Diceros bicornis minor: one gene and its partner. The protein of the gene in region 1 interacts with the protein of each later gene in a pairwise test. Links are inferred from orthologs where the notes say so. Each region holds a gene or a part of one and is shown in the gene's direction. Other genes may lie near its edges.

The links.
Region 2: the proteins of RTN4 (region 1) and SNX15 interact in binary tests that used the Homo sapiens proteins (3 or more experiments, as listed by UniProt). The two-hybrid records come from large-scale screens. The link is inferred for Diceros bicornis minor from reciprocal best matches to the Homo sapiens genes RTN4 and SNX15.

What each region holds. Positions count from the first base shown.
Region 1 is NC_080751.1:31,378,462-31,395,332, forward strand, and holds the start of RTN4 (reticulon-4), read left to right. Parts: upstream 1-9,823; 5' UTR 9,824-10,097; coding exon 10,098-10,662; intron 10,663-10,714; exon of another isoform or gene 10,715-10,729; coding exon of another isoform or gene 10,730-10,972; intron 10,973-11,983; coding exon of another isoform or gene 11,984-12,113; intron 12,114-16,871. UniProt on the Homo sapiens protein: Required to induce the formation and stabilization of endoplasmic reticulum (ER) tubules. They regulate membrane morphogenesis in the ER by promoting tubular ER production.
Region 2 is NC_080770.1:8,106,987-8,123,220, reverse strand, and holds the start of SNX15 (sorting nexin-15), read left to right. Parts: upstream 1-8,964; 5' UTR 8,965-9,079; coding exon 9,080-9,178; intron 9,179-12,172; coding exon 12,173-12,208; intron 12,209-12,405; coding exon 12,406-12,526; intron 12,527-13,717; coding exon 13,718-13,833; intron 13,834-13,930; coding exon 13,931-14,078; intron 14,079-14,389; coding exon 14,390-14,533; intron 14,534-16,234. Other genes in the region: ARL2 (ADP-ribosylation factor-like protein 2), read left to right, coding at 2,930-3,040, 3,136-3,298, 4,395-4,475, 5,341-5,475. UniProt on the Homo sapiens protein: May be involved in several stages of intracellular trafficking. Overexpression of SNX15 disrupts the normal trafficking of proteins from the plasma membrane to recycling endosomes or the TGN.

The sequences.
Region 1 (16,871 bases):
TAAACTCTTAAATAATGCTCTGTCATGGAGCATGAAGCACCATACTGCAAGTTCATCTTTCTAGAGGACAAATTAGATTAATAGGAAAAGTACTGTTTTCTCTGTTCTCTCTTTCTGGATCTCTTATTAGTGATTTCAGAGGCCTCTCAAACTGAGCTTCTAACTTTTTAATCTTTGTCTTATAAATTACATCTCTTTGTCTTTTTTTAAAAAAAATCAGCTTTGTATTGAGTAAGTTCATTTTCTTTTTCAAGATTTTTTTTTTTTGCTGAGGAAGATCAGCCCTGAGCTAACATCCATGCCAATCCTCCTCCTTTTGCTGAGGAAGACCGGCCCTGAGCTAACATCTATTGCCAATACTCCTCCTTTTTTTCGCCTTTTTCTCCCCAAAGCCCCAGTAGATAGTTGTATGTCATAGTTGCACATCCTGCTAGTTGCTGTATGTGGGACGCTGCCTCAGCATGGCCAGACAAGCGGTGCGTTGGTGCGTGCCCAGGATCTGAACCCACGCCACCAGTAGCGGAGCACGCACACTTAACCGCTAAGCCACAGGGCGGGCCCCTAAGTTCAATCATTTTAAGTATACAGTTCAATGACTTTTGACAGTATATATAGCCATGTAACCATCACCACTGTCACTCCTAGAAGTTCCCTGGTCCCCCCTGCACTCACTTCCTCCCTCCGCCTACCCCTGGTAGTTTCACCTGTTTCAGAATGTCACACAAACAGAATCATAGTATATAGGCTTTTGTGTCTTGCTTCTTTCACTTAGTATAATCCTTTTGAGTTTCTTCCACGCTGTGTATATCAATAGTGTGTTCCTTTTCATTGCTGAGGTGGATTCCAAAGCCACAATATGTTTATTCATTCACCAGTTGATGAACACTTGTGTTGTTTCCAGTTTTCATTTCTTTTGGATAAATACTTAGGAGTGAAATTGCTGGGTCATATCGTTAGATATGTTTAACTTTATAAGAAATTACCAAATGATTTTCCAAAGTGGTTGTACCCTTTTACTCTTGCAACAGCATTCATTATATATCCTTGCCTAGACTTTGTTCTAAGTTTTCTTCAAGAAATTTTAGTTTTGGCTGTTCTATTTAGGCCCATGATTCATTTTGAGTTAGTTTTTTTGAATATGATGTGAGATAAGGATTAAAGGTTTTTTGGGGGTTTTTTTGTATATGGATGTCCAATCATCCAGCACCATTTGTTGGAATGACTATTCTTTCCCTATTGAAATACTCTGGCACCTTTGTCAGAAATTAATTGACTATATGTGGATCTATGAGTCTATTTCTGGACTCTCTATCCTGTTCCTCTGATCTCTTTGTCTATCTTAATGCCAATACTACACTGGCTTAATTATTGTAGCTTTATTATAAATCTTGAAATCAAGTTGAAGTTCTTCTAGTTTATTTCTCTCAGCAATGTTTGCAGTGCAATGGTCTTGGCCATATTTTGTTAAACCCACCCTTAAATATTTCATGTTTTCTGTTGCTATTGTAAATGGTATTGCTTTAAAAAAAAAGAAAAAACCTTAAACTTCCACTTGTTTGTTGCTAATACATCTTTTTGTTTGTTTTTTGTATTTCCTGGGAGATTTTTCAAATTTATCTTCCAACACTTCTAATAATTTTTAAAAAGTGCAATTAAAAAATTTTTAGTGTGGAAAAATATACATTAAATGTACTTTATTCATTTAAACCATTAAGTGCACAGTTCAGTGGCATTAAGTACATTCACATTTTTGTGCAACCATCACCACTATCCATCTCCAGAACTTCTTCATCATCCCATACTGAAACTCTGTACTCATTCAACATTAATTCCCCATTTCCACCTTCCCCTAGCCCCTAGTACCCACTGTTCTACTTTCTGTCTCTATGTAGTATTTGACTATTCTAGGCACCTCATATAAGTGGAATCATACAATATTTGTCCTTTTGTGTCTGGCTTATTTCACTTAGTGTAACATCTTCAAGGTTCAACCATGTCGTAGCACGTATCAGAATTTTATTCCTTTTTAAGGCTGAATAATATTTCATTGTATGTGTATATCACATTTTGTTTTTCCATTCATCCATTAATAGACATTTGGGTTGTTTCTACCTTTTGGCTGTTGTGAATAATGCTGCTATGAACATACAATTGGTTTTAATTTATGAACTCTCATGTTCTCTGATTTTTTTCAATTTTTATTGTTTCTGTTTTTGTTTTATAGAGTGATATCTTCTTTTATCTCTCTCTAAATATTATAATTTCTTTGATATTTTCTTCTGTTCTCTATATGTCTCTGTTCCCTCAAGTTTCTTTTTCTGTTTGTTTTCATTTTTAGCTTTCATTCAGGGCTTTTGTCAAGTGTCTGGTGGTTCTTGTGTTTTGTTTTATGTTTAAAAGCGAAGTACTAAAAAAATGGACTGGAAGCTCTGTGGGGAAAAGGGGGTAGGTGAGACCGATCAGGTCTTTTACTGGGGTACTCCAAATGCCAATACTTTGAGGAATTTTCACTGCAACCATTTTGTTTCTGCACAAAAGAAGTCTCCAATTTCCTGTCTGTGGGAGAATGAGGTATAGGGGACAGCATGGGCTGGGGGAGCAGTAATGATGGGGCAGCAGAGATATGTTTAAGCCTTGTGGTAGACTTTCTGGGAGCAGGGAGGGAACATGGGGGCCAAGGTTTCTCTTTTACTTAATCCACTTGTTTTCAATCTGGCACCTCCAGGGGCTGAGTCTCTCAAGTGTTCTGTGGCACAAAATGACTTGCGTCTAGTTGATATTGCCCCTTGAGAGGTATTTAGGTTGTAACGTCATACAGTCTTCTAAGTCAGTAACTGCTCCTCTGCTTTTTGTCTTTCAAAAATGTGTTGAAATATTTTATCCACTGTTGTCTCCTCTCTTATTTTCTTTGTCCTTGTTGGTTAATACCATTTTTATTGCTGTACTGACATTTTAATGGGGTTTTGGGAGGAAGAGGAAATGAACAGATAAGACGCCATATTTAACTCATTAGAGTAAATAGCATTTATCATGTGTAAATGATTTACAACATTTCTTTTACCACTTGACAGAAAAAATTTCCACTCAGGACAATAAATAAAACTCAGATAAAATGGAAATGCTAGATCACAACAAGTTTGTAGTAACAAAAGGAAAATGAGTTTCAAAAAAGACACAGGCAGAGCAATACACTACAGCATTTCGGGTGATGAATGTGTTCCTGGGTTCTCTGGAAAGTAGAAAACAAGTTGAGTATGAGTAATATAGATCTGTTGATTTTTTAAAAAAAATCCTATACCTTGGGGGGCTGGTCTGGTGGCGTAGTCGTTAAGTTTGAGCTCTCCACTTCAGCGGCCTGGGGTTTGCAGGTTTGGATCCCTGGCGTGGACCTACACATTGCTCATTAAGCCATGCTGTGGCGGCATTCCATATACAAAATAGAGGAAGATGGGCACAGATGTTAGCTCAGGGCCAATCTTCCTCAGCAAAAATAGGAGGATTGGCAATGGATATTAGCTCATGGCCAGTCTCCCTCATCGGAAAAAAAAAAAAATCCTATACCTCATAAATACAAGTAGTATATAAAAGAATAATTTATTATCTAGTTAATTTTGTAATTTAATGGAGCTTGCTTAATCTCTTACTGCTTTTCTTCCAGCCATTTCTTTCTCTCTAGCATCTTCATTGGTGGATGGTTAGTTACAGGAAGAGGAAAAGTCTACCAGGCAATTCTACTACTTGTTATTGGCTAAGAGGCTGAAGCTACCAGCTTAATGAAGGTTTAAGGATTATCTGTGGTTTCAATTGTTGGTGCTGTCCCTGTACCTATAGATTACTTAGTGCTAAATATAATTATACTAAGCATTTACTGGAATACTATTTTGAGTTCTGAGTTTAATATTTAAGGTGAATGGAGAAGATAAAATGAGCACCCATTTAAAAACTAAAGAACTAGACCTATGAAGAAAAGCAAAAGTGAGTTGTTTCTTTTTTAAGTTGTTTTGCCTGGGAAAAGTAAAGGTTAAATGGAAATAATGTTGTTCAAGTACGTCCAGAGATGTTTCGTGTTGATGTTTCCCAGGGCTCTATTCAAGGCCTTTTTCTCCCATGGGTAGCAGACAGTATCCATCACCCTGCTTGGCCATCCTCTCTCCGTACCCCACCATTTTTCCTCAAACCTCTACCCATGAAACCTAACCAACAGGTTTAGGTATCTGCTCTCCAGACTAGATCTAAGCTCCAGCCCTAGTTTTGCTTCTGCCTTCTGATTATTTCTACTCAAATGCTCTGCAGGCAACTCAAGTTCAATGTATCTAAAAACTTAGGTCATTATATTCTCCCTAGCATTACTCACCCATTCCGTGCTCCTCTCCTGACTTCTTTTCTTTGATAATGGCAGCACCCATTTACCTTGTCACCTAACCTTAAAGCTTAGAATCAGCTTTTCTTTCTTCTTTTCCATCAGCCCCTCCATACCATTAGCCACCAAATTCTATGAATTCAACTTAAATGTTTTTCAAATGTATCTTCTCCTATCTCCTATGCTATTAGTTTAGGCTCTCATCAACTTTTGCCTGGACTACAAGTAGTAATTATGTTTCACTTAAACCACAGTAGCTATAATAAAGTTATTGGGCAAAGATTACCTGAAATATTATAATATTCTGTTTCCTTACTCTAGCACCCATAATCCATCCTCTATCAGTGTTATTTTTGTAAATTAGTAATCGGATCATCCCACCATCCTTCTTAAAGACCTTTAATAGCTCTCTATTTAGAGAATAATGCCTCCACTCTTTAGCGTAGCATTGAAGATCCTTCACAGTCCGTACTTAGCTTATTTTTCTGGTTTTAACCTCAATCACCTTCCACTTCTCTAGCTATACTAGAGACCTCTCTATGCCTTGAATCTGTGTTGGAGTTTCACTCCTCCTTGACTTTGAAGGTGTTATTTCCCCTTCCTTAGATCCCTGTCTATCTTTCTCTATCTTAAAAGATTAAATATTAACTTATTATATGAAGACTTCTCAAAATCCTGCTGGAATATGTCTATGTCTGTCTGTCTCGCTCTCTATATATATCATATACATACAGTATATATATTCATACACATACGTACATATATACACACACATATATGTATATATACCTATATATTCTTATGTAAACTAGATGCTATGTTCCTTGACATTAGGAAATGTGTTTTATTTACTCTTTATCACCAGGGTCTAGATGCTCAATAGATTTTAGTTGAATAAATAGTGTTTATTCTAAAGATAGTGACCACCTGATTTCTATTTCCATAGATGATAAAACAACAAAATTTATACTTCAATCTTTAGGTATTAGAAAGAGTGGGTTATATCCTGGAATCTGTTATTTATAACTCAGATAATTTTGTGAACTCTTCTCTGTAGTTCTTTTTTCTCATGAGGACAGATTTTTTATTTGTCTAAGATAGGTTTAGGAATTTCTTTGCTTGGATTTGTGCTGCTAGATAAAAATTAATTTTCTGCTGGACCAAAAATAGTTTTTCTGCTAGATCAAAATAAATTTCACCAGAGAAATAATGCATATTAAACTAGCCTAAAGAAATGCAGTATTAATGCAGAGGACCCAAGAAAGTTAAAGGAGAAGGATGAGGTTCAATTTTAATAATGACTTTCACTTGTCTATTATGTGATTTCTCTTTGGAACTTAAATTTTTAATTTTAGGTCCAGCGCTAATTGTCAATGCATAACTAGCATGGCTGAAGATGTTGATCTTATGTATTCATTTATTTCTTTACATTTATTACGGAATAAACTTAGTATAAGTCAAGATGTTAACCAGAACCAGGAATGCATTTCACAAAAAGGTACATTTCATGAAATCATGAAATCTAAAATCCCAGCAAGATGGTAGGGATAATGACATAGCCATTATGAGTTCCAAAAGGATGCTTCAATCTTTTTTGAGTACAAAGGTTGAATGTAATTCAGTGGTGCTATTGAACACAAGCAAGTCATTTTCAGTGGGCAAAAAAGTTGTGGTGCACAGCTTTTGAAACAGGGTTGTCAGGAACTTGCCTCTCATCTTTCTCCTATGGTTGCTGAACCCACTCTCAAGTCTGCATCCTGCAATATGCAGGCAAGAGTATATCCATGCTACACATTTTAACTCTTTCAGGGGACATACATGATGCAAGGATAATTAACCTGTTCTCTGTATACCAGATTAGGCGTCAACTCAGCATTCTGCAATAAGGTATACTACTATAGAAATGGAATGGGCTATTTGCCTAAGTAGTGAGTCTCCCTTTACTGAAAATGTTCAAGCACATTTGTGTCTGATTTGTTCAGTGCTGTATTCCTAAATCTTGCACAGTGCTTCGTACAGAGTAAATACCCAATAAATACCTCGTGTATGAATGAATAAGGCACAAAATAGAAGCACAAAAGGGATGATGTTTCCATTAGCTTTTGCTGTGTAATGAACCATCCCAAAAGGTAGTAGTTTAAAACAGCAATGATTCATTATTTTTCATGATTCTGTGGGTTGGCTGGACAGTCTGAGATGGTCTCACATTTCTGGGACATCAGCTCTACGGCTGGGACAGCGAGGTCTCTCTCTCCATGTGTCTCGCGTCGTGGGCCTCAGCATTCCAAGAGTGAGAGTGGAAGCTGTCATGCCTCTGCTGGTTAGGCTTGGAACTCATTTCCAGGGCATTCTATTGGTCAAGAAAGTTACAAGGCCAGCTCAGAAGAGGTAGGGAAATTGACCCAAACTCTTGATGGGAGTTGTTGCAAAGAGTTTGTGACCATTTTTAATCTACCACAGATGCTCAAGTTTAAAAAACCTTCTGTAGAGAATTCTTGTAATGGGAGGGAGACTGGTCAAGCAGACCTCCCAGAGTCCTTCTGATTCTGAGATTCTCTGATTCCATCAGGCTGAATGGACCTCTTGCAGCATTCTAAGACAGAAGTTACTAACCCATGGTATCTGGAAACTTGAATCTTCTACATCTGGTAAGATAACCCAAAGATAATTCATGGAATAATTAATTTCTAACTATTAATATGATCCACAATTTATATTATTCCTTTAGCCATTTCAAATATCAACCAGAATTTTCTTATTAGTGAAAGTGATTCTTACATCTAGTTACACTAATGTAAGTACACTAACTCTACTTTTAATTTTGGTATAGCAGCAACATTCTCCTTTCCTTATGCTTTGTTGACCATTCTATGAACGCTGGGTAAACTCTTTCCTTTTTATTCATCAAACACTTAATTTTTTAGAAGTCGCTGAGATCAATAATATAAAATTCTTATTTTTCTTCTGCAACAGAGGACCGTACTTATATTATTGCCTCAATATTTACTGTTATTTACTGTTAAATTGTAAATCTACCACTTTTCTGTAATCATTCTTTTATGACAGTTTTAATAAAGATATTCCCTTGTGACTATTTTAGTAATAGCAGGTACACAGATATATGGATGCAGACATATCGTATAAGCAACTGACAAATAATATATGAAAATCCTGTGAAATTGTCCACTGAGGAGTTTCAAAACAACCACAGTGGAAAAGCCAGTAAGGGGAAGATTGAACTGCTGATAGCCAAATTGTGACTTAATAGAAAAAGTTCATACCATAAAATTTTACCAGTATATTTTTGTATGTGTATACACTTAGTTGGAAATCACGTACATTTTTGATAATTTTTGACAAATATTTAAAAATATGACTATTTAATTATCATTGTAGGAATCTGTTTTAAAATTTTTAGTTTGGCATTAAACCTCCTGCCCCCAAATTCTACACTAATTCTTCTCTCTTCCTACTCTTTCTAACCCTTCAAAATAAATAAATAAACAAACAAATAAATAAATAAAACCAAACAAGCTCAAAGCAATTCACAACCATTTTTTAGAAATAAAAATTTTCTGTTTTTTAAAAAAAATCTTTATTTCTTAGACTAGTTTTACATTTACGGAAAAACTGAACAGAAGAGAGAGTTTTCGTACACTCCCATGCTCACCCCCCAACCAGTTTTCCCTATTACTAACATCTTGCATTGGTGTGGTACACTTGTTACAGTTGATGAACTAATATTGATATATTATTTACCCCAAAGTCCACATTTTACATTAGGGTTCATTCTGTGTCACACGGTTCTATGAGTTTTGCCAAATGCATAATGTTATGTATTCATCACCACAGTATCATACAGCATAGTGTCACTGCCCTAAAAATCTCCTGTGTTCTGCCTATTCATCCTTCCTCCCTCCTCCAGCCCCTCCCTTTCCTTGTTAATGCTCAAATTAAGCCTAGGGTAATATTAATCAGTTGGAGATAAGAATTTGCTTAAATAATCAGTGATTCCCCTCATGGCAATCAAAAATTCTTAATCATTAAACTAGCACTGTCCAATAGAAATATGTGAGCCATATATGTATTTAAATTTTTCTAGAAGCTGCATTAACAAAGTAAAAAGTGAAATTAATTTAGTAATATATTTATCCCAATATATCCAAGATATTATCAATTCCAATGCATAACCAATATAAAAATTGAGATATTTAATTTTTCTGTTACTGTCAAAACCACGTGTGCATGTTAAACTTACAGCACATCTCATTTCAGAGCAGTCACATTTCAAGTGCTCAACAGCCACAAGTAGCCAGTGACTAAGGTCTTGGATAGTGACAGTGCAGGCCTAGACTGCGAGCAACTTGAAAGCAGGTTATCCTCCTTTCTTCACAGCCTCCAGATTAGACATGCAGCGAATATTTTTGGAAGGTATATCAGAAAGATAAAAGAGCTCTCTAAACCTCTGGATGCTGATACTTAAATGTTCTGCAACCACTTTCTTTAAACTCTCTCTCCAGTTTTGGAAAAAGTGGAATGGGGATCATGCTCATTCTGGTATATCAAAGAAATGAGTATTGGGCTTCCTGACTCCCAGAAAGCCTGAATCATCTGAAATGTTGACTCATGAGCCTAAGGTGACTGAAATGTAACGGGAACCAAATATGCCTTCCAAGGCTTGGTTCTGTTTCCACTTTCCTCTTTCCCCTCCCTTTCTCTTCGGGTGACTCATCCTCCTACCATGTGCGAGTCCAGCAGCGGGCAGATCCCAAAACTATCCTGAGGAGATGAGCGGATTTTCAAACGGTCTGCTCCAGACCCCGGATCGTCTAGTCCAGCTCTGTTTTGCCTACTTTATCCAGGGTCTGCAGTATAGACTGGGAGTGATCTCAAAACTGTCAAAAAACATTATTTTTTCTTTTAAGGTGGTAATGGTAATAGTGATGAGGTGGTTTGAAAATCTGTTTGAAAAAATATCTTTTATTTCAAAATCTTTTAAAATTTAATGTATACTTCAATCCTTAGGGCCTACTCCACAGTCCCGTTAGTTAGTACCTTTCTCCACTCTGGGTTCTTCCCTTTCCTGGGAGGGAAGTTTCCACTCCCAGTCCCCCAAGATAACGCCCTTCCGGTGGCGCGGCAGGAAGCTCTTCGACCCATCAGGGCAGTCAGCTGGCTGGCTTTCGCAGTACCCTAACTACAGACTGACCTCCAGCTGTAGGCAAAGCCAAGACCCCAGCTCGACCCGCACCTACCCAAGGTGGAGGGTGGGGCTCCCAGTTCCAAACTCCGCCCATCGAGCCCACCCCAGCCGGTAAGAGAGAGGAAGTGCGATAAGCCCCACCCACCTTCCTCTTTTTTCCTTTCCGTTGGGCCGGCTTGTTGCCCATCGTCTCTATCCCGTAGCCGATTGGCTTCCTCCCTCCCGCGCCAGTCCCTGCCTCTCCCTGCCGGGGAGGGTGAGTCACGCCAAACTGGGCGGAGAGTCTGCTGGCCTCTCTCCTTCGCTCGTCTGGGCGGCGGCGGCGGCAACTGGGGACGGGGCGGGTGGCGCATCACGGGCGCGGAGGCAGGAGGAGCAGTCTCATTGTTCCGGGAGCCGTCACCACTGCAGGTCTCTCGGCTCATTCGGCCCTGCCCCTCTCAGTCCTCCTCAACCCCCACAACCGCCCGCGGCTCTGAGGAGAAGCGTCCCGGCGGCGGCAGCTGCTGCAGCATCATCCCCGACCCGCCAGCCATGGAAGACATGGACCAGTCGCCTCTGGTCTCCTCGTCCTCGGACAGCCCGCCCCGGCCTCAGCCTCCGTTCAAGTACCAGTTCGTGAGGGAGCCCGAGGACGAGGAGGAAGAGGAGGAGGAGGAAGACGAGGACGAGGACGAAGACCTGGAAGAGCTGGAGGTGCTGGAGAGGAAGCCCGCCGCCGGGCTGTCGGCGGCCCCACTGCCCACCGCCCCCGCCCCCGGCCCCGGCGCGCCCCTGCTGGACTTCGGCAATGACTTCGTGCCCCCGGCGCCCCGGGGGCCCCTGCCGGCCGCGCCCCCCGCCGCCCCGGAGCGGGCGCCGTCTTGGGACCCGAGCCCCGCGTCGTCGGCGGTGTCCGCGTCATCCCTGCCCTCCGCTGCCGCAGTCTTGCCCTCCAAGCTCCCCGAGGACGACGAGCCTCCGGCCAGACCTCCCCCGCCTCCCCCGTCCGGCGTGAGTCCCCAAGCCCAGCCCGCGTGGACCCCGCCCGTGCCGACCCCTGCCGCGCCCCCCTCCACCCCGGCCGCGCCCAAGCGCAGGGGCTCCTCAGGCTCAGTGGGTGAGTGCAGCGCCCTCCCGCTCCGCGCCGCCCCTCGCGCCCCTCCCTCTTTTGTGTGCCTTCCCAGATGCCTCGGGCCGAGCCCTCCCCTTGGTTCCGAGGGGGCTTTGTCTGCGGACCTCGGGGCGGAGGCGCCCCCCGTGGTGGGAACCGCGTGGAGCAGGGTGGGGCGGCCGAGGAAGCCCGGGCTGGTTCTATCGTCTGTCTCGGTATCGGGAGCACGTGCGCCCCGCCGTCCCCCAGGTTCTTCCCTCTGCTCCCCGTTCCACTGCGTTCCGGAAGTCAGGCACCCAGCCCTAGTCGGAGCCGGGTGTGTATCGAGGAACTAGGGTTGTAGATTCATTGCGCTGGCTTGGTTCCGGCGTGAGGTTGCAAAGGCCTGGGCGGCCTAATCTTTCGTCCACCGGTCTGGGTTGCCCCCGGGGAAAAGGCGCAGTTTCGCTGCTAGTCTGTCTGCCCGCATTCAGCCCTGGTCCCCCTCCTTACCCGCTCCCTGGCTTGGGTGGCCCCTATGCGCTTCATCCCCCTCCCGCTCCTGTTGCGCTGGCGGGGAGCTGGCCCAGTGGAAAATGTCCACAATGACCCAGCTGCAGTGAAGGGAGAGCGCCTCCAGTGGTGTGGCGCTTGGAGAATTGGGAAGGAGAGAGTTCTGGCGAAGTCCTGCCACCGCCCAGCTGGTGATGTGGCGACTCCGCACCAGCTAAACCGAGCCAGGGAAATGGGATCTAGGCATTGTGTTCCGAGCGGGGTCAGTTCTGCCGGGGTCTCAGCCGCAGAGTGAGAGGAATTGCTGATAGTGTGGGCTGGTTTAGCTTCTTAATGCATCAGAATTGAATCGTAGAAAAAGAAAAGGCAAAATGGTTGACATTTTTAAAGAAGAGGAAGCCTGTGGATTCCTTGCTGGGAATAGGCCAATTGAATTTGTGGCAGATTTACTGTCAGACTTAATGAAATGTTTTGAGACAGACGTTTTCATATGTTAGTTAGAAATACTGTTTCTTAGATTTTATATGTTTTAGGTCGACAGAGACAAATCTGTAAATAGTTTTCAAATCTTTTCATTCATATAAGTACCTGATCGTATATTATTTTTAGGAACATTGTTTCATTACGCTTTTCATCTTGGCTAATTGTTTATTTTGGAAGAGAAAAAGTCAGGTTTGTTAGAGATTGATAATTCATAGACAGTATATTAACTTATTAATAAGTAGCTTGTTACTTTTGGGACAGAAAGTGACCCACTAGCAGTAGGACCTTTCTTTTAAGTATATGTAAAAGTCAGGAATCAGGTACAGTAGTCCCCCTTTATCCGCGGTTTCAGTTACCCACGGTCAACTGCAGTCCAAAAATACTAAATGGAAAATTCCCTACGTCACAATGCCTACGTCATTCACCTCACTTCATCTCATCACATAGGCATTGTATCATCTCACATCATCACAAGAAGAAGGGTGAGTACAGTACGCTAAGATATTTTGAGAGAGAGACCACATTCACGTAACTTTTATTATAGTGTATTGTTACAATTCTATTTTATTATTAATTATTGTTAATCTCTTACTGTGCCTAATTTATAAATTAAACTTTATCATAGATATGTATGTATAGGAAAAAACATAGTATATATAGGGTTCCGTACTATTCACAGTTTCAGGCATCCACTTGGGGTCTTGGAATGTATGCCCCATGGATAAGGGGGGACTATGGTAATGTAACTCCCTGCTGAGAAATCTTCATAGCCTTGAAGGATTTTAGAAATGGTTCATTTTCTAGAAAAATAAAATCAGTCTGAGATCACAGAAGAAATTTCTCTTTTCAGTTCACTCCTGCTCTGCAACAGGAAAATAAGCCAACTGTGATGTTTGAGTAACATTTTGATATTGACATACTCCAAAGCATTACTCAAAACACTAATCACTATATTCAAGATATTAGAAGATGAAGAGTAACTCAGTCTTTCCTTTTTCTGAATCAGAAACACATATTTGAGAGAAACTAAGGTAAGGTAGAAAAATAGAAAGTAATAAATTTGCAAATGGGAAATTTAATGATTAACAAGAGCATACTAATTTGTCATTTTGTATTCCTGCATGGGAACAAAGAGAAGAGTTCTGTTCTTTGAACATTAGGGATTCGGGAGGTGACAGCATTCCCTTGGAATTTGACGTTTGTAATACTAAGTTTGAAAAACAAAGGAGAGTTGCCCACTCAGGGACTCTATCTTTGCATAGTTCCTTAATTCTGTATTGACAATGCCTATTTGGAACCTTTAGTTCCTTTATTAAATGCAGGAACATCATGATTATGGTCATGGATAGTTAAACCATTTCAGTGAGTCTAGATTTCTTAACCGAGTTTGTTCATTCATTCAGTTGATTATTGATGACCTGCAGAGACAGGCACTGTTCTTGGCTATCAGGGTATAGCAGTAAGCAAGACACATGTGCTCCCCATGAGAGGAGTACAGATAACAAGCACATAAATAAGGAACTCAGTGTAGTGGTAATGTTATGAGGAAAATAAACAGGATGATGGCATGGAAAATGATTGGGATGTGTGGGGGCCTTTTTAGATAGGGTGGCACTGAGAAAGGCCTTTCTGAAGAGGTGAGATTTGAGCTGCAGAGATCAAAAATTTCCAAGCAACTCCGAGGAGGCAAAAGCCCTGAGGCAGGAATGCGCTTTGTGTATTTGAGAATTTGGTAAAAAGACTAGTGAGAAAAACAAAGGGGAGAGTGGTGTGAGGGTCAAGAGGTGGGCTACACTTAGATCATTGGGTGTGTCTAACAGCCCATGGTAGAAAGATTGGCTTTTTTTAAGGAAAATATTGTTTATTTTAGAAATATGCTCCTTAAATATATTGTGATTTGGAGTAAAAATATAGTTTTGAAGATTTAGAAGACCTGAGAGGACTGATGTGAGTAAAGACAAAGAAAGTGAGAAATATGCAGAGCACGGTTAGAAAGAAACATAGACCAGCCTGGCTGGAAGAGGGTGTATGTTACTGAGTATGGCAGAACCCTGACACCGTGTATTTAGCATTGCCGTTTACACTATTTTTGAGTAAACTCTTATTTCCATCACTTGGTAAGTTGTAATTTTGCTGTTTGCTATGGTGCTTGGAGCATCTCCATTGCAGTGCGGTAACTGAAGTGAGACTGAAGCCTCTCGCGTGGTGACCGTTTTTCATGGTGAAACCTTTGGCTTCAAGTTGAAAAGGTGGTTGGTTAACCTAGGCTTTGAGGATATGCAAGGGCAACTTCGGATAGAAATTGAGTTGAGAGAAATGCAAACATTATCATTAAGGATGACATTGAGCTGATCTCTGGACATGTTCTAAACTAGTGTTAATTAAGATTGAAAATGTGTGGTAGATCTGGAATCTGAATTCAATGCCAAATTAAGGAATTAGGGTTTTATCATCCTGCTGTTACCATGCTCATTCATCTATAGTTGCTCTTGCTTTCAGTAATTTATATTATGAAACCAAAAATGTTTTTGTTATTGTTTCCCAAGTATAAAGTTATTTCATGTTTTTTCACCACACTCCTGAATTATTGCTTTCGGTATTGGGAAGCCATTGAAGATTATTGAACTGAGGCGTGGCATTATGAAAGCAGTGTTAGAAAAATGAATTGGTGACAATATTTTAGATAGGTTGGGAAGAAAAACAGGGGAACTATTTAGAAAGCTTTTGCAGTAGTTCTGAGACAGGTGAGTAGAGCCTGAACTAGTTCATTACTAGTTCATTCAGTGAAAATGGAATAGAAGGGAAGCGTGATTTCTTTGATTGGCTGTGAATGTATATTTTTATAGTTAGGTTCGGAAGAGTTTATGAAAGAAGGACTGATAAGACTTGGAGACTTTGGATGTAAATGCAAAAAAAGTTGAATCAATTTCAGATACTGTTCAAAGTTGTTAATTGCAATGGAAATTTGTATAGAATTTAATATTGCTCATGTGTATAGGTTATGGCTTGGTGATTAAAAACTATTAGTCTTTTATAAAGACATTTATTATATGATCATTTATGTTGGCATAGGAGCACATATTAGAAATGTTAAAAGATTTTGAGTGACACGTAGTTTAAATCTTAAGTATCAATTCTTAACAAGTAAACAGTGATGTGACGCTCCCAGGAAGTAGATGCTTATAAAGAAAAAGATGTCATGCCCTATCCATTCCCCATCTTCCTTCCATTTTTATCTAGAAAATGATAAAAAGGAATAGAACCAATGAATTTAGAGATTCTGGGTAATTTCTGTTGTTAAGCCATTTTTAATCTTTTGACTAGGAATAAAAGTTGGGAACAGGTGATGTGCTCCTTATGGATAAGGTGAATTACAATTCAGATTGGTTCCTATGAAGTTCAGTGCCAAATTTATAGTCCTTTTTAAGTAACTCACAAGCTCCCTCAAATCTTTTTTTAAAATAATGAATATATTTATTGAAACTTTGATAAATATCTGATTATGTGGAAGAGTATTTAGAAAACACGCTGTTTTAGCACTGTATCACTGTAAACTTAAATTTGCTCTATATTATATAAAACATTTCTAAAAAGTAGCATATTATCTATTGTCCAGTAATTGGCTCTGTGTTATGTGTAGTTGCTTCATAATACACCTATAAGCAGTTTATTTGAAACATTACTGACGCAAGGCCCTAATTTATTTATTTATTTATTTTTTAAGATTTTATTTATTTTTTCCCCCCAAAGCCCCAGTAGATAGTTGTATGTCATAGCTGCACATCCTTCTAGTTGCTGTATGTGGGACTCGGCCTCAGGATGGACGGAGAAGTGGTGCCTCGCTGCGCGCCCGGGATCCGAACCCGGGCCACCAGCATCGGAACGTGCGCACTTAACCACCAAGCCACGGGGCCGGCCACAAGGCCCTAATTTAAATGGCACCTTTTAGAGGTACTTTGCTAGCTCAAGGTAAAAAATACCAACCAAATGGATGATATTTCTTGATTCTTCCCTGGACCCTCTGATTAAATAGAAGTAAATGTTGCAGATACACTATTCTTATAGTACATTCTTTGAGACTTTTTATTTCTCTTTCTAAATATAGACACTGGAAGGTCCCCGTGTGGGTACAGCACCAGGAATGGGAACTGTAAGGGCAGAACCATAGTTTGTCAGCAGTGTTTAAATGGGTGAATGTGGCCTTTGTGTCTAGCTAGTGTAGAATATAGTGCAGAATGGTAAGACCCAGCTTTACTGATGCTAAGGTCTTCTCAGACTGATGGCTTCATCATTCTTTTCAACTCTAAAGGAGGAGTTGATAATTTCACATTTAAGCTACTGTTTTTTTGTTTCTTGGAATGGTGATTATTAATTTTTAAGTTGCTTTCCTCATCTGTTCCCATAACATTCTATTCTTACCTCATTGTATATATCATACTATATATATGATAATGGTATGTTTACTCATCTCTCTTCTCCACTAGACTGTAGCTCCTTGAGGAGGGGGGCTATATGACCTTTTTTTCCTTGAGGAAAAGCACTATATGACATTATATCTCCATTGCTGAGCACAATGCCTTAGATGTGGTGTAGACACTCAGATATTTGTTGAATGAATACAGTGTTATAGATGAATGCTGACTTCATATTCTGTATAGTACTAGAATTACTACAATATTTTTTCCCGATAAAAGTCTCAAGTTTTATGAGTTAAAGCATTTATTTACATAGACAAGGTATATGGATGTACCATATTTTATTTAATCAGTCTCTTATTGATGATTATTTAGGTTGTTTCTCAGCTTTTTCTGTTATAAATAATGTTGCCGTGAACACCCTTATATGCACTTCTTTCGGAATGCATACTGTTATATGTGTTGTAGGATAAATTCATGCAAGTAGAATTACTGATTCAAAGAGTATGTACATTTAAAATGTTGATTGATAATGCCAAATAGTCCTATAAAGAGTTGTTCCAACCCATATTCCCATCAATAATGTGTTAAAATGCTTTTTTCCTTTTGCCTTTACCAACACAGTACATTGGCAGACTAGTAAATGGTTTAGCAAATTGTTTTTTTAATTTACATTTCAAAGGTTTTTTTTATAGGCTTAGTTGCCAATAAATTTTTTCTGATCACAGCTTTTGCTTATTCTTCTTTTGGGTTTTTGTTCTTATAGATATAGGAGCACTTGATCTATTGTAAGGAAATTAGCCTTTTGTCATATGTCTTGAAAAC
Region 2 (16,234 bases), on another chromosome or scaffold:
GCGGGGGGTCTCCGTTCCCAAGGCCAAGGGTGTGGGCCTGAAGGCCCGCAGTGTAGGGGGGAGGTGGGGCCCGGAGGTGACCCGGACGCCACTGCCCGTCCGTCTGGCCCGAGGAGGGGCCGGTATCCTCCCCGGCTCTGACCTCCTCCCCTCTGTCTGAGGGGGGCCAAGCCCGGCCCCGCCCTCAAGGTCGGAATCCCTGGGGCGTTTGGAACCCGCCCTCCGCCCGGGGGCAGGCGGGTGTGGACTCCGCGGGTCGTTTCGACCGTGGATCGAACTGTCCCTCTCATTGCTGCCGCTCGGCCCGTCGGTGTCCCCGCGGCTGGCGGCCTGTAGGCCCGGGGCCCCGCCGACCTTCTGAGTCCCATTACCAGGCGTCCGCACTGGTTCGCCCTACTCTGTGAGGGACCCGTGGGGGCTCTGCGATCTGAGAGCTGGGCGGGCCTGACCCCGAGCTCCCCTAGCAGGGGAAGGGAGACATTTATGTGCGCAAATAAGTTAAAATAATAGTCACATCGTGTCTTAAAGAGCTCCCAGAAAGGCACAGAATTCACTTATCCGATCAATATTGAGCGCTTACTATGTGCTAGGCGCTGCCCTAGGTGCTGGGGGAAACAGCAAAATAAAAAAATCCTACCTTCATGGACGTTCTATGATGCTGGGGGGAGAAAGATATTAACAAAGCAAATGAGTAAAATATATAGTATGTATGGAATAGAATGCAGTCTAAATAAGCTGGTTAAAGAAGGCCACATTGAGTAAGTGACAGTTGATTAAAACAGAGAGGTGAGGGATGAACCATGTAGGTATGTGGGGAAGATTGTTTAAGCAAAGGGAACAGCACAGGCAAAGGCCTCGAAGGAGGAGCTCAACTGGTGTGTTCAAAGGGACGTCAAGGAGGGCAATGTGGCTGGAGAGAATGGGCAAGGAGAATACTAGAAGATTAGGACAGAGAGGTGGTGGAAGAACCACCTCCTGTAGGGCCTTGTGGTTCATGGCTTTTTCTTTAAGTGCAGTGCAGAGGGGAGGTGTGATCTGAGACCAGCTAGGCCCTTGCTCTAACCCAGGAGAGACAGCCTGGTGGCTTGGGCCAGGATGGAAGCAGTGAGGTGATGGAAGCTGGGGGACATTTTGACAGTAGGGCCCCCAGGAATTACTGCTGGATTGGCTGGGAGTGTGAGAGGGAGAATGAAATCAAGCCTGACTCCTAGGGTTCTGCCCTGAGCAATTAGAAAAAGAGGAGCCACTTGCTGAGATGGCTCCTCTGAGACATCCTAGAAATGTCAGATAGGCAGCTGGATGTAGGGACTGATGTCCAGGGGAGCAGCTGGGTGGGACGTATAAATTTGGGTGTCATCAGCATAAAGATGGTGTATGAAGCCGTGATCCTGGGTGAGAGCACTGAGGATGAGTGTGGACAGAGAAGGGAACCCAGGCTTACCTGGATCAAGAGGTCAGGGAGATGAGGATGGGTGATTTGGGAGGCAGGTGTACAGGCAAGGGCATGTCCTGGAGCAGAGGAAGGGGCAGGCCGCTGTCTCACGTGCTGCTGATGGAGCAGGAAGACGAGGGGTGAGGACTGCCCGGCCACGGGAGGGCTACGTGCGGGTCTTTAGGGGCTGACCTCAGTGAGAGCAATTTCCAGGAAGCAGTGGGAGCCTCACGGGTTCAAGAAAGGGCAAGAGGACAGAAATTGAGAGGGCGAGTATGGACAACGGTTTTTTGTTTTTTTTTTATAATTTTATTTATTTATTTATTTTTCTCCCCAAAGCCCCAGTAGATAGTTGTATGTCATAGCTGCACATCCTTCTAGTTGCTGTATGTGGGACGCGGCCTCAGCATGGCCAGACAAGCGGTGCGCCGGTGTGCGCCTGGGATCCGAACCCAGGCCGCCAGCAGCGGAGCGCGCACACTTAACCACGGGGCCAGCCCTGGACAACGGTTTTGAAGAGATTTGATATAAGGGGAAGGAAATAGAGGAATAAGTAGGGGGGAGAGGGATCAAGGGAGGGTATTGTTTGCTTCTTCTAAGGTGGAGAGACCCCAGCTTCTCAGCTGATGGGAATGATCCAGCAGAGAAGGAAACGTGGATGATGGGGTTGGGGGTGAGGAGATAATCTGGGGCTGAGGCTGGGTCTCATGAGAGGTTCTCTCTCACCCCCATTTCACTGGTTTGAGTCACTCACCCAGGTCAAGTGAGCAGAAAGGCTGCAGAGGCCAGGGCCTGGGTCCCCCTCCCAGCTGCAAGCCCCCTTAAGTGTTGGAAGGAAAGAGGAGGTGGTTCTCTCCAGCTGGTGAACTTACCCATTCGTTTGCACACTCATTCAGCAGCAAAGGGTTTGGAATATTCCAGAAACAGGTGACGGTGGCTGCCACCAGATACTTGGTTGTGCTGTTCCCTCTGCCTAGAATGCTCTTCCCTCAGTCCTTCAAAAAGCTGGCTTCTTGTAGTTTGCCTCAGCTCAAGACCCTCAGAGAGGTGCCCGAGCTAAAGGAAGCTCCCTGATGGCCGTCTCCAAAAGCTTCTTCGTTGTATCTCTGAAGTTTCCCCAGATCCAACAGGACCTGTTTCCCATTTGTTTGCACTCTACCAACTGTCTCTGCACGAGAGTGTAAGCTGCACAAGGGAGAGGGCTTTTACTCTGGGTTTCCCCTGCACAGAAGAGGGCCTTGCATATAGGAGATATTCAATAAATATTGTGAAATGAATTAAGGAGCCTTTGGTCAGGAGGAGATGATAAGATATTTATTTCTTGATACTTTCACATTTATCATGGTTCACATTTATCATGGGCCGATTGTGGGTCAGGCATGTGCTCAACTCATTTTGATACGTGGTGGGAAAAGATTTGTCCCCTAAAGACAGGGACGCTATAATGATGTCACCGCCCTGCATAGCATGGAGACTGCTCCTTAACCTGTGCCCTAGTGGCCTGGACAATGCTGGCAAAACCACCATCCTCAAGAAGTTCAATGGGGAAGACATCGACACCATCTCCCCAACGCTGGGCTTCAACATCAAGACCCTGGAGCACCGAGGGTGAGCGGGTCCCTGTGGGCGGGCCGGCCGAGAGCAGGGCAGAGAGGGTGGACGAGGGGCCAGGCTGACCCTCCAAGCATCCCCTCCCTGTCCAGATTCAAGCTGAACATCTGGGATGTGGGCGGCCAGAAGTCCCTACGGTCCTACTGGCGGAATTACTTTGAGAGCACCGACGGCCTCATCTGGGTGGTGGACAGCGCCGACTGCCAGCGCATGCAGGACTGCCAGCGGGAGCTCCAGAGCCTGCTGGTGGAGGAGGTGGGCGGGGTGCCTGGCCGAGCAGGGGGAGCGGGCTTCCGCCAGAATCCAGGCCCCGATACTTTACGCACACACGTGGACGTGTGGACACCTTCCTCAGCAGATTTCCTGAGGGGCCCCTGACCCCAGAGGGACACCTGGGGTGGGATCTCTTCCTTCTCTGAGCCAGCACCCTTGGGGAGGCAGAGACCACCTGTATACCTGGTCCAGGGAGGCCCGCAGTGCTGCGGACAGGCCACGCTGTGGACCGAGACCTGGGTTCCCATCCCTTTATGTCCCTACTTCACCACCTTGAGTGTCATCAGGTTTTTCAACTAATGGCCTTTCTCTGTTCCAGGATTTGATCCCAGCTACTGCACTGCATTTAGTTGAAAACCAGGACACTTTTAAGATTAAAGAGAGTTGTTAATAATTATGCAGGGACAACAGGTATAAACGGGACTGTCCTGGGCACACAAGGACCTAGGGTCACCTGGTATAACAGTAGCTGCCTCTCTGGGGTGTCGAGCAAGTCCATTGAAATCAGGGCTGTCACATGCCCAGGCCTGGCACGTCAGGCCCTTCATAAGGGCTAGATCCCCACCCACATGGAGGGACTCCCAGGACCAAACACATATATGGAAATAACTAGAATCAGAGGCAGAGGCCTGTCAGGGTGATGGGACAGTTAAAGGGCTACATGAACTTGGAAGAGGAAGGTCACTTCCAGCAGATCCCATGGCCCCTCGGGACACGCATTCTTTGTGCATGTCAGGTTATGAGATGGAGCAGTCTAGAACCACAGAGGGCTCAGGGATCACCCCCTCCCTGTTTGTGGAAGAGGAAACTGAGGCACGGAGGAGAGAAGTGTCCACTGGGTAGTGATTGGGCTGGAACCAGCACCCTGGCCCAGCCCAGGGCTCCCTCCACCCCATGTCTGGCCGGCCTCAAAGGCCATGTCCACACTGCCCACCCCACTTGGGCCTCTCCCACCTCCACGGGGCCTTGCCCTGATCTTCAGGTTGATCTCTGACCGCAGATGCTCTGGGTGATTAGAGGAGGGGCCGGGCTGCCCTCTGAGCCCCCTCCCCTGGGCCCCTCTGTTTCTCTCCCCCAGCGCCTGGCTGGAGCGACCCTCCTCATCTTTGCCAACAAGCAGGACCTGCCCGGAGCGCTGTCCTCGAACACCATCCGTGAGGTGAGTCCAGGCCTTGGCGCGGGCTCACGGAGGAAAAGGGGCACGCATTTCTGTGTTAATTTATTTAAAAAGCATTTATTAGCCCCTGCCATGCAGCAGGACCTATGCTGGGCACTGGAGACTCAGTGATTAATAAGACACGGTGGTGTCTCGCAGCCTGCGGGCGGCAGCCCTGCAAATAGATTATTCCACAGGTTAACAGTAGCCACAAAGAGTGAGCACTTTCTGCATGCCAGGCTCTTTGCATGGATCAACTCATTCAAGTCCCACAGCAACCTCATGAGGCAGGAACTATTATTATCATTCTACGATGGAAGCAGGCTTAAGAGATCAGGTAACTGGCCCAAGGTCACACAGCCAATAAGTAGACAAGCCAGGATTTAAAAACTATCTGATCCCAGTGAGTGCATCTTAACTCTTATTCTAGAACATGAGCACCAATATGAGAAAGAGTGGGGGTAGAATCTTGGTTCTGCCACTTACTAGCTGTGTGACCTTAGGCAGGTTGCTTAACCTCTCTGAGCTTTGGTTTCCTCCTTGGTAAAATGGCCAACACTGGCTCATGGAGCCTTGGGCAGAATGGCTGAGAGGACATTTGTAGGGTCCATAGCGCAATACCTGGATCCTAGCAGATGCTCGGAGCCTGTGTTGCTATTCCATTTCTAAGGGGTAGGCTGGCGTGGCATGTATAGACAGCCCACATGCCTCCGGGGGCTGACAAATATTCACCAGGGACCAGGGGAAGCTTCTCAGAGCAGGACCTTGGGGGAGGCATGGATTTCCCCTGGGCCTGGAGAGGGAGGGGGGCTGTGAGCGGGCAGGGCCTGTGATCACTGGGCCCCACCAGCGCCTTCCACCCTCCCAGGCCCTGGAGCTGGACTCCATCCGCAGCCACCACTGGTGCATCCAGGGCTGCAGCGCCGTCACCGGGGAGAACCTGCTGTCCGGCATCGACTGGCTCCTGGACGACATTTCCAGCCGCATCTTCACAGCCGACTGAGTCGCTCCAGATGCCCCCCAACCTCGAAGTCCAGGACCCCCCAACCAGGCCCTCACCAAGCACCATCCATGGGGGGATGGGCATCAGCCAGCCCAATTAACACTCCCCATTCCCCTCTGTAACCTGCTGCTGCTACTGCTGCCCGCTGCCGCTCCATGGCCAGCCAGCTCCCACGGCAGGAGGGCTGCCACCTTGGCTGTAACCCTGGCTCCTGACCTGGCCCGCCTGCAGCTGCCACACCAAGAGGAGAGGGCTGGGGCTGGGAGGGGGCTGCCTGTGTTGCTCTCAAGGCTGTGGGCCTCGTCCTTTGCTCAGCTGTGAGAATAAACCATTCTTTGCTCCAGTTCCTGGCTGAGTCATTTATTGATTCAACAGCTTTCGAGACCGCCTGGAACCCACAGTCCAGCAGGGGACAGAAAGAAACAGATCATTTCAATCAGAGGGTTAACTGCTGCTGTGTCAAAGAGATGCGCAAAGAATTATAGAAGCACAGGACAGTGTGGCAACTAATTCCACTTGGAAGAATCCAGGCAGGCTTCCCAGAGGAGGTGACGTTAAAGCTGGGAGTGAAGGATGAGTAGAAGTTTTCTGGGTAGAGGAAGGGGGAGACAGTTTACCAGAGCGACTGCTGCCCTCAGTGGTGTGAATTAGAAAAAGGGACACAGCCCCACATCCGGGCTCACGGCTTATTGAATGGAACGTGGGCTGAATTCCAGCTCCCAATTTCCGGCTGCAGCTAGGAGCCCACATGCAGTGGACAACCTGTGCAGCTATACGAGGCAACATTGGCTCAAGCTGAAGAGCAAGGGCTCCTGGGAAATGGGGACGGGTGAGGACTCAGGTGTAGGAGGATGTGAGCACCAAGCAGGGCTAGCTAACAGGGCAGAGCCGGGAAGGAGCCTTCCCTGAAGGCTATAGGGCACTCTCTGAAGCAGGGGCCAGGCTGGGAAAGGAAGGGAACCAGGGTGACCCCAGAGTGGCAGGACAGATGGATGTTTTCACAAGGCCCCCTGCTCTGGTCCCACCAGTGGCTGCTTAGTCTGTAGGGTTCTGTTTGAGGCACTTACCATCTCATTGAAGAACAGCCCTAAGTGGTCCAGACCCTTTGTATTCCCATTTATATGGGAGCCGAGCCTTCAGGAGGTTATGACTTGCTCAAAGCTACTCAGCTAGGAAGTAGGGGACCTGGGGTTCGGACCCAACACACTTAGCCACTACACTCTACTAACTGTTCTCAGTTTTTGTCTCTGCTCGAGATTCAAATGCCAGGGAGAGGAGGCCTAATGTGTCTAGATGAGGGGAGGGCGGTTTTCCCAAGGGAAAGGCAAGGAAGAGACAGAGATTTACTCCAAACTGGCACTAGGATCCCCTCCTGGAGGGGCAGAGACCCGTGCAAAATCTGGGCTCTGTCAGGACGGAAGAAGGGAAATGGGTGTTGGATGGACAACCTTAGAACATAAACTGTCCTTCAAGGTAGAACATTAGAACCGCCCACCCTGTCCTCTGTGCAAGATGGATGCTGGTCCCCCTGTTCCCAAACCCTGGCGAGTGGGTTTGGGTGTGGCGAGTGACCACACCCAGGCTCCAGAGCCAAACCCCAGCTCTGCCACTCACTGGTTGATGCTGAGCAAGTTGCCTAACGTGTCCGTGCCTCAGTTTCCCCATCAGGGGAAAGATGATAGCACCTACTTCCTAGTGTTGGGATGAGGACAAAATGGGAGGGTATCTTGTGTGTCATAAACACTGGATAATGTTAGCTATAATTATTATTTGAAACACTAGGAACTCTGCCTTTTTCAAGCAGATCCAACCAATGTGAGCCCAGCCATCCACTGATCCGGTGAGTCACCCCAGTGTTCAAGTCCTCCTGAGGGCCCTTAGTAAGCAACATCCTTGATTTAAAAAGCAAATTATACATGGTTAGAGACAAACGAAAATAACAAGGTTCTGCTCATCTCAAAGGCCCGTGGCTGAGGAGGATGAGCCACAGCAGGAAGTGTGCAGCCCATGGTCAAGCGGACCCAGGGGGCACGTGGGGAGCAGGCCCCCTACAGCTGTGTATTTGCAGCTCCTCCCTCTCCCCTGCCTTCTAAGAAGGCTCTTCTGTTTGCTTCTCCTAGTGACGGAACTGGTGGAATTGGAGATCTGGAGAAGGCCAGGGACTAAACTGATTTAGATAGGAAAAGGCTTGGAGGGGACAGGGAGAAAGAAGGGGCAAAGGGGAGAACTGGGAGCTGCTGGGCCAGGGAGTGGGGCGGAGATGATGGGCGAGAAGGAGACTGGAGCCACAGCCCTGCCCAGAGAGCTTTGGAGAGAGGAGCCATGTCCAGAGGGCTCCTTTAGAGAAGCCCTGGGGTGTGACATGCCAGGAGACACCACTCCAAATCTGGGCCTCCTCCTCAACACCTCCTGGATGAACTACCTTGTTTCCAGGCTTCCGAGAGTCTGATTTGGGAATCTGCTTTGTGTTTCTTTCTGGAATGCCCACAGTGCCCACACATCTGAGTTCCAGTAACAAGAGTGGCGGTGAGCACTTGAACGCTTCACCCACATGACCGCATTTAAGCCTCACAACCCGGTGGTGGTGGTAGCAATCGAGGTCCTCGATGGCCTGCCCTAGACACAGATTACAACTGCCTTCAGCAGAAAGGACGCTTCTGGGGACTCAAGGCATTGTAATGGAGGCCGGATGTCCAGGCTTGGGAAATAGAATGCTCCAAAGGCTGGGCAGCCAAAAGCACAGCCAACTCTGTACTCCAGGAACAAGTGGTCCCCTTGCCAAGTCCTGTGCCCTCTGTCCCTCACTCAAGATTCAAGACCTCAGGAGAGAGTCCCCCACCCCGACCTGGGACCTGGGGCAAGGAAAGGAGCTGGCACCTTTGGATTCCAGGGTAGGAGGCTGGAGGTCTACACGTACAAGAGAACTACCTCCAAACAAAGATCTGGTGCTCTGGGACTAACAAAGAAGTGGGAGTGAATGCTGGACAGACCAGTAAAGGAGAAAAAGAAGCATCTCCTGCTGTAGATTCTATTATAAACATCTCCATTCTAGAGGTGAGAAACTGAGGCTTGAGTAGTTAAGGGAAATTCAAACAGCTAAGTAAGAAGTCTGACTTCAGAACCGGTGACACCATCGTGCTCCCCCGACCCTTCCAGAAAACATGAATTAGCGAATCCCATGGAGAGAGACAGGGAAATAACTTGGCTACCTCTTGCACATATTGGACACAATAAAAGTTGGGTGGATGGATGAAAGAAGGGAATTGGGAAGCAGTGAGCAGTCGTTTGGATATGTGTGATGAGGGTTTACGCTCGGATACGGTGGGCTTGATCTCTCGGCAGAGATGAGTGATCCAATCTCCCGAATCTTTACTCTCAAATAACCTAGTTTACGCTTTACCAACGACAGAGAACTTTTTAGACGCTCCCTTGGCCATGTGCCTGGGCCGAGAACTGCGCTGTCACTTACGACCAGCTCCCTGGGCCGGAGGATGAAGGGCGCAGGCCCAGGAGAGGTGGCGACTGGCAGAGGCTGACCTCGAGGGGCGGGGGCGACGCGGCGCAGGCGGAGGCCGGCGGTCAGCTCCGCTCCAGCTCGGTTGCCATGTCCCGCCAAGCGAAGGACGACTTCGTGCGGCACTACACGGTCTCCGATCCCCGGACCCACCCCAAGGGCTACACCGAGTACAAAGTGACCGCGCAGGTGAGGTGGGGCCCAGCGGGGACCTTTACCCTTTTAACAAGAGGTGGGGCCGTGTTTTACCTTAAGGCAAAGGAGCTGCTGCAAGCTCCCTTCTTAGACGACAGAAATGTATTTCCCCTTTAAGGGGAGGCTGCTTTATGAGTCTTCGTTTACTTCTTTAGCCGTCAGGGGGCGGGGCCATGGGAGGGTGCTGTCCTTTTAAAAGGGCGTGGATGGCAGGTCCCAGACCCGCCGAGTGTGGGTGCCCACGCCCTGCGTGCAGTATCTGGGCGTCGGGCTGTGAATTTCTTTAAGTTAACGTGAAAACTCCGAGGCAGCCCAAATATTAGTTCTCCAATCTCTTGGAGTAAGTTTTATTTATTGGTTTGTTTGATATTTACATAAAAGACCTTTAAAGAGTTTATTTTTAATTTTTCAAAAATTAATACTTGTCTCTGACTTTAAAAATTAATACAGTTCAAAAGAACTTAAGGAGTAAGTCTCCATCTTCACGGTCATAGCAGGCAGTCAATAGGTAAAGACTAAAGTTGATATATGAAGCGGTAACAGTGTTATAAGCGCATTGTATAGAGACATGGAGGAAACCATGCAAAGAATTTAAAATAGTAACAGTGTAACAGACTATCCCTAGAATGATATACAAGAACTGGTTGGGGGAAGACTTCACTGTAAATTTTTTGTACCTTTAGAATTTTAACGAGGCAACTATTAAACTGATGCATTAGTAACTATTAAGGTGAAGCAAAGCATAAAGACACTTTCAAAGTGATTTAAGCGCAGAATCCTAGATGTTTAAAATGAGCTTTCCCCAAATCTTTTATAATGTCTTTCCTATGCCTAAAAATACAAATAAAAAGATAGTCCCTGGGAAGATGAACTGAAGGGTGGGAAGGGTCTGTAACATTTTCCTTTAAATCTTTCTTTTGGTTTTTTAAACAAGTAACATGCATTACTTTATGTTTTTATAACTTTTAAAGATAAATAATTGTCCCTCCCTTACCGTCCCCATTCATTGTCATCTTGGGAACCATTGCTGCTAGTTTCTTTTTATTCTTGCAGATAAATTCTACATTTAAAAGCAAATATATGTAGTCACTTTATTACTGTTATTTACACACAGCAGCATTCTGCAGCTTGTTTTATTCATTTGCTGGTATTCCTCAATTTTTTTATTGCTTCACTTTTTAAATTTTTAAAACTGAGATATAATATACATAAAGTAATATGCACAAATCTTGTGTACAGCTCAATAATTTTTACACATGTATACATGTGTGCAAACACCAGTCAGATCAAGATATAGACATTTCCATCACCCCAGAAAGATTCTTTGCATATTTCCAATTGGTAGTCCTCTTCCCACAGAGGTGACCGCTGTCCTGACTTCTGTCACCGTAGATTAGTTTTGTCTGTTCTTGAACCTCATGCAAATGGAATCACACAGCATGTACTCTTTTGTGTCTGGTCTTTTTCACTCCATATGGTGTTTTTGGAATTCACCCGTGCTGTTGCATGTATAAGTAGTTTGTTCTTTTTTATTGCTCTATAATAGTAGTCCATTGTATAAAAAACCACTATTTCTTTATTCATTCTCCTGTTATTGGACCTTTGGGTTGTTTCTAAAAAAATTTTTGTTGTTATGAGTGTAGTTGTATGAACATTCATGTACAAGTCTTTTTATGGACATACGCACTCATTTCTCCTTGATATATACCTAGGAGTGGAATAGGTCATAAGATAGGCAGATGTGTAGCTTTCCTAGAAAGTGCCAGTCTTCCAAAGTGGTTGTACCATTTTATACTCCCATTCTTGCCAGCACGTGACGTCATCAGCATCTTTAATTGTAGCTGTTCTTGGTGGATGTATAGTATCTCATTGGAGTATTAATTTGCATTTCTCTGATGGAGAATGATGTTGAGCATATTTTGTAATCTTATTGGCCATTCAAACATCTTCTTTTGTGGGAAGTGCCTGTTCAAGTACTTTGCCCATTTTTTAAAGTTGGATTGTTTGTCTTTTTAATAGTGATTTGTAGGAGTTCTTTATATATACTCTGGATATGAGTCCTTTGTCACGTATACATTCCTCAATGGTTTTTAAACATAGTTTCTTTTACCCAAAATACTTTAGGCAAGTCTGTTCTGAAAAGCAAAGGCCAGGATTTCAGTCCTGTCAGTTCCTCTTACTGAGTGTGTGACCTTGCACAGGTCACGTCCCTCTCTGAGCCTCTGTTTCCTCATCTTTTTTTTTTTTTAAGGAAGATTGGCCCTGAGCTAACATCTGTTGCCAGTCTTCCTCCTTTTTTCCCTTTTTCTCCCCAAAGCCCCAGTAGGTAGTTGTATGACATAGTTGCACATCCTTCTAGTTGTTCCTTTTCCTTGTCTTTTAAATGGGCATGTTAATCATGTCTGCCTCCCTGGGATCTAGGATAATGAACAGGCAATGTTGAAAACTGTCAAGTATTCCCAGCTGTAGGATATTATTTTTTAATTATTGTGAACCAATTATAATGAAAACGAGTCTTCTTTCCACCTCAGACCCCAGTCTGCTTTTCCCGGGGTCACGACCCCGGTGACGGTTTCTTCTGTGTCCAGGAGCATTCGAGCACAGGGGCTTCCTGCTTTAAGGAAGGAGTGGCTCCTGGGACAGAACCTTGTTTCTCTAGAGAACTTGGGGTTCTTTGGTTTCAGAAGGAGATACAGGGACTTGGCCCTTTGAAGGAACTGAGATAAAAGTTGGGCTGAGGATGGACGGGCTTTTGGGGATCCTCCCATTTCACAGATGAAGAAGCTGAGGTGCATTGTAGAAAAAGTGCTCAAAGTTACACTCAACGCCTTTAAGGCAGGACACCTTGATACCAGTGGCCAGTGGCCAACGTGCACTGCCCCTGTGAGGGGGGCTGGGAGGTGCCTGGGGCGTCCTCAGATTTTACGGGGTCCTCAGCAGTCAGATGTCAGTCTCTGGTCTCACCTGGTTCTTGCCTTTTTTCCTCAGTTCATCTCAAAGAAGGACCCGGAGGATGTCAAAGAGGTGAGGCTCCTGGGAGGAAGGGGGACCATTCCCCAACTCGAGATCTGGAAACAGTAAAGGAGCAGCTGGTAACCCTGCCAGGAGATCAGCCCCGCTTCCTCCCTGTGCCCTAATCCGCACACCCTGGGGCCAGGCTGGGGGTGGGGAAGGCCGCTTCCCACCCTTGCTGGTCCGGGTCAATCTCCCGTCCCTCTTAGGTGGTGGTCTGGAGGCGCTACAGCGACTTCCGCAAGCTGCACGGAGACCTAGCCTACACCCACCGCAACCTCTTCCGCCGCCTAGAGGAGTTCCCTGCCTTCCCCCGCGCCCAGGTGTTCGGTGAGTGTTGATCCAAGCATTCAGCCTCAAGATGGAGGGAGAGTTGGCAAAGGGGACCCTGCTGGTGGGGGCTGGATAGAGGGGGCCTGAAGCTCCCAGCAAAGACACGTTTCAGAGAGCTGGAAGGGCCCTTAGAGATGGCCTCACTTTACGGGTGGGGAAACCAAGGCTCAGAGCAGCCTCGCCCTTATTGACTGTCGGGTCCTTTAACATTCCTGTTGTCATTAGCCCCGTTTTCAAGATGAGGCCACTAAGGCTGAGGGAGATGAAGGGGCTTGGCCTGTAAGTGAACCAGAATTCCTATCCATAGCCGATGTCTCCTCTAGACCTGTGCTGTCCAAAAACAGCAGCCATGAGCCACATGTGGCTGAGGAGCGGCGGGGATGTGGCCAGTCTGAACTGAGATGTTGAAAACACACTGAAAAAAGAATGCAAACTATCTCAATAATTTATATATTGATTACATGTTCAAATGAGAATATTGTAGATATGTTGGGTTAAATAGAATATATTATAAAATTAATGTGTTTCTTTTAATTTTGAAAAATGTGGCTATGAGAAAATTTTAAATTACCTGTGTGGCTCATATTATATTTCTCTTGGACAGGGCAGAGCTGTTACTTGGGTCTGGACTCACATGAGATGCCTTTTGTGGCAAGATGAAGGGTCACTCTTGGCAGGTTATGCCAGACAGCAGGGAGTGCAGCAGGCTGCTCCCCCGGTAGCATGATAACCAGGCCAGAGTTAGAGAACTCTGCGTGATACCAAGAACAGAGCAGTAAAACTGTAAAAATGGGGCAACTTGCTGTGTGACTTTGGGCAAGTCACTTTCCCTTTCTGAGCCTCACTTTCCTGCCCGTTGCATCAAAGTCAGCTGAAATTGTTTGGTTTCTTGTTGGTTGCCTGCCTCCCCCTGTCTAGGATGTGATATCCATGAGGGCAGAGACCTTGTTTCTTTCTCATTCACCCCCTGAAGTTAGCACATACTAGGCACTCAATAAACATCTGGTAAATGGGTGAATAGGGAGATTGCAAGTGCCCGCACCCCGGGAAGAGCCAGGGAAGATTGCTGGGAGAATGGGGAGGGGGCAGTGGGCTACTTAGATCCTCTTGGGTGGAACCAGGAAAAGTGGCCAGAGGCCTCTGTGAGTCACTGCTTCTCTCCCCGCCCTTTGTCTTGGGGGGCTGCAGGCCGGTTTGAAGCCTCGGTGATTGAGGAGCGGCGGAAGGGCGCTGAGGACTTGCTTCGCTTCACTGTGCACATCCCTGCGCTCAACAACAGCCCCCAACTCAAGGAGTTCTTCCGGGTAAGTGTCCCTGCTTGGCCTCCCCAGCACCTGGGAAGCCTGCTGCCCGCCAGGCTGTGCCCTGTGACTTCCCCTGGCTGGTCTTTCTCTCCTACAGGGTGGGGAGGTGACACGGCCATCCGAGGTGTCCAGGGACCTGCATATCCTGCCACCTCCTCTGATCCCCACACCCCCGCCTGATGAGCCCTGGTTGCCCCAGCCGCTCCCTGCAGAGAGGAGAGGCCTGGAGGAGTTGGAGGTGCCAGGTACATCGTGGCGGGGGAGGGAGCCAGGGCTGGAGGGTCCGGGGGGTGGGACCACACCTTCCTCAGGGATCTTAGTAAAAAGCCCGAGGTGTGTCCCAGCTCCTCTGCCACCAACCTGCTGAGGAACTCTGCCCAGGCCATATCCCTTCTCTAGGCCACAGTTTCTTAATCTGTAAAATGGGCGCAAACCCTAAGAATGGGCTTGTCTATGCCCCTGATTGGCGCAAGGATTCAGTGAGAGGGTCATTCTGTTTTGAAAGCTGGGAAATGATACGGGCAGGCATGAATGTCCCCCGTCATCTGTTCCTCAGGGGACCCCCCGCCATCCAGCCCTGCCCAGGAGGCCCTGGGTCTCCTCTTTGACTGTGGGAGCACCGAGGAGGCGTCCAGTTCCCCTGCCCGAGGCCCCCTCACTGAGGCTGAGCTTGCCCTTTTCGACCCCTTCTCCAAGGAAGGTAACAAGCTGGTGCAGGGGTGGGGGCGGCGGGAGGGAGTGCTGGGGCAGGAGGTCTTTAGGGGCAGGGAAGCAGGCAGAGCCACCACCTAGCCTGTGTGGTGCCTGTGTAAATCTGAGAATGGCATGCACGCAAATGGCAGCCTCGATGAGAATTAGAAGCAGATGCCCCTCCCTGGGTGCCACAGCCCTGGCTATGGCTTTGCCAGCTGGGTGCCCCTGTACAGTGAATAACAGTGGACAAAGGGAATGAGTCACTTCCCATGATGAGATCTTCTCCCTGAGAAAGTTCTGGAACCAGCAGGGATCACACTGCTCTGGGAGTTTTAGTTCCTTCCCTTGGAAGACCGAGAGGGGGGTTTCCTGGCTGGCTCAGGGTCCGGCTGCAGATCCTGAAGGCAGGAGAGGCATGTTGGTCAAGGGGGTGAGGCCGGGGCTCAGAGAGCAGCAGGACAAGCCCCTGGAGCGGCTGGCATGGGGGTTACCAGAGATGAAGGGCCCCCATGGAGATCCGGGTGCTGAGCCCCCAGCTCTGAGATCCAGAGATCTGACAGTCCCAGGCTCTGCGACACTGGATCTCTTCGTTCTGAAATCTCTGAGTTTATGCTGTTACAGCAACTGGGGTGTTGAAGTGGCTGATCTCACTTTGGGATCGTCATGAAACAGTTTCATTTTTGATTCCTCAACAGTCTTATAAAGCCTGTTTTGTTGGATTCCCTTCTTCGCCCTTTGGTGACCTCCTGGGCAGACCTTTAGCTTTCTGGTCAGTTTTAGGCGTTTGAGTTCTCTCATCCTCAGGTCCAATCCAAATCAGGACTCGGTCTGCCATCCAGTTTTCAGCCTGGACGAGGCTCAGGCCTGACTGGGTGGTGATGAGGCTGTGAGGAGTGCCCTTTTACTCTGCTTGTTGTGCTCCCTCCCCTCCCTGCTTCTGCCCCTCCAGGGTTGGGGAGAGGAAGAAGGGATGGAGGGGAGAAGTGGAGGTGGTGTTGCTGGGGCTGATGTACCTGGCCTCTGAGAGGCAGGTGCCCAAATACTCTGCCTTGCTCCAGCTGAGCCCCCTGGGGTACCCGGTGGGCTGCTGCTCAGGCAGGACCCTGTCCTCCCACGAGACATTCCCTCGGCCCACAGGAAAACTCCCCAAATCCCTTCAAGGCCTGGAAGTGCATTTTGCTCAGATGCTGCTGTCATGAGCAGCTCCAGTGAGCCTCTCGCCATCAGAATTCTCCAGCAAGGAGCTGGCTCTCGTCTCTCTCTTCATCACATGCACCAAACTCCTGAATTTAAGCACTAGGGTGTCCCAAGAACTCTTCTGTCTTCTGCTCCATTATAACACAGGCGGGGCTGTAGGTCCAGCTGGGAAGTGAGGTGTCATCTTCCCTTCCTACATGAGGCCCCTGGTCTCCTTGTGGGGTCACCAGGACGGGGCTGGAGAGATGCCCACCTTCCCTTTCCAGGACAGTGGTGTGCCATGGTGCTTCCTGCTCCTGCACCTTCCTTTCAAATGCTTTTTCACCAAATCTCTAGCCTTCTTGTGTGAAGCTGCAGAAGGGATGTTTGAGCACCTCTTTGCCAGTCCTGGCCCTTCTTTCTGGAATGTGAGGATCCCTACCACCACCGTCTTCACATTCGAGGCCTCAGCTGAGATTTTAAGACTTCAAAAAAGCCCTGAGATTCTCTGAATCCATTATTCTAACATTCC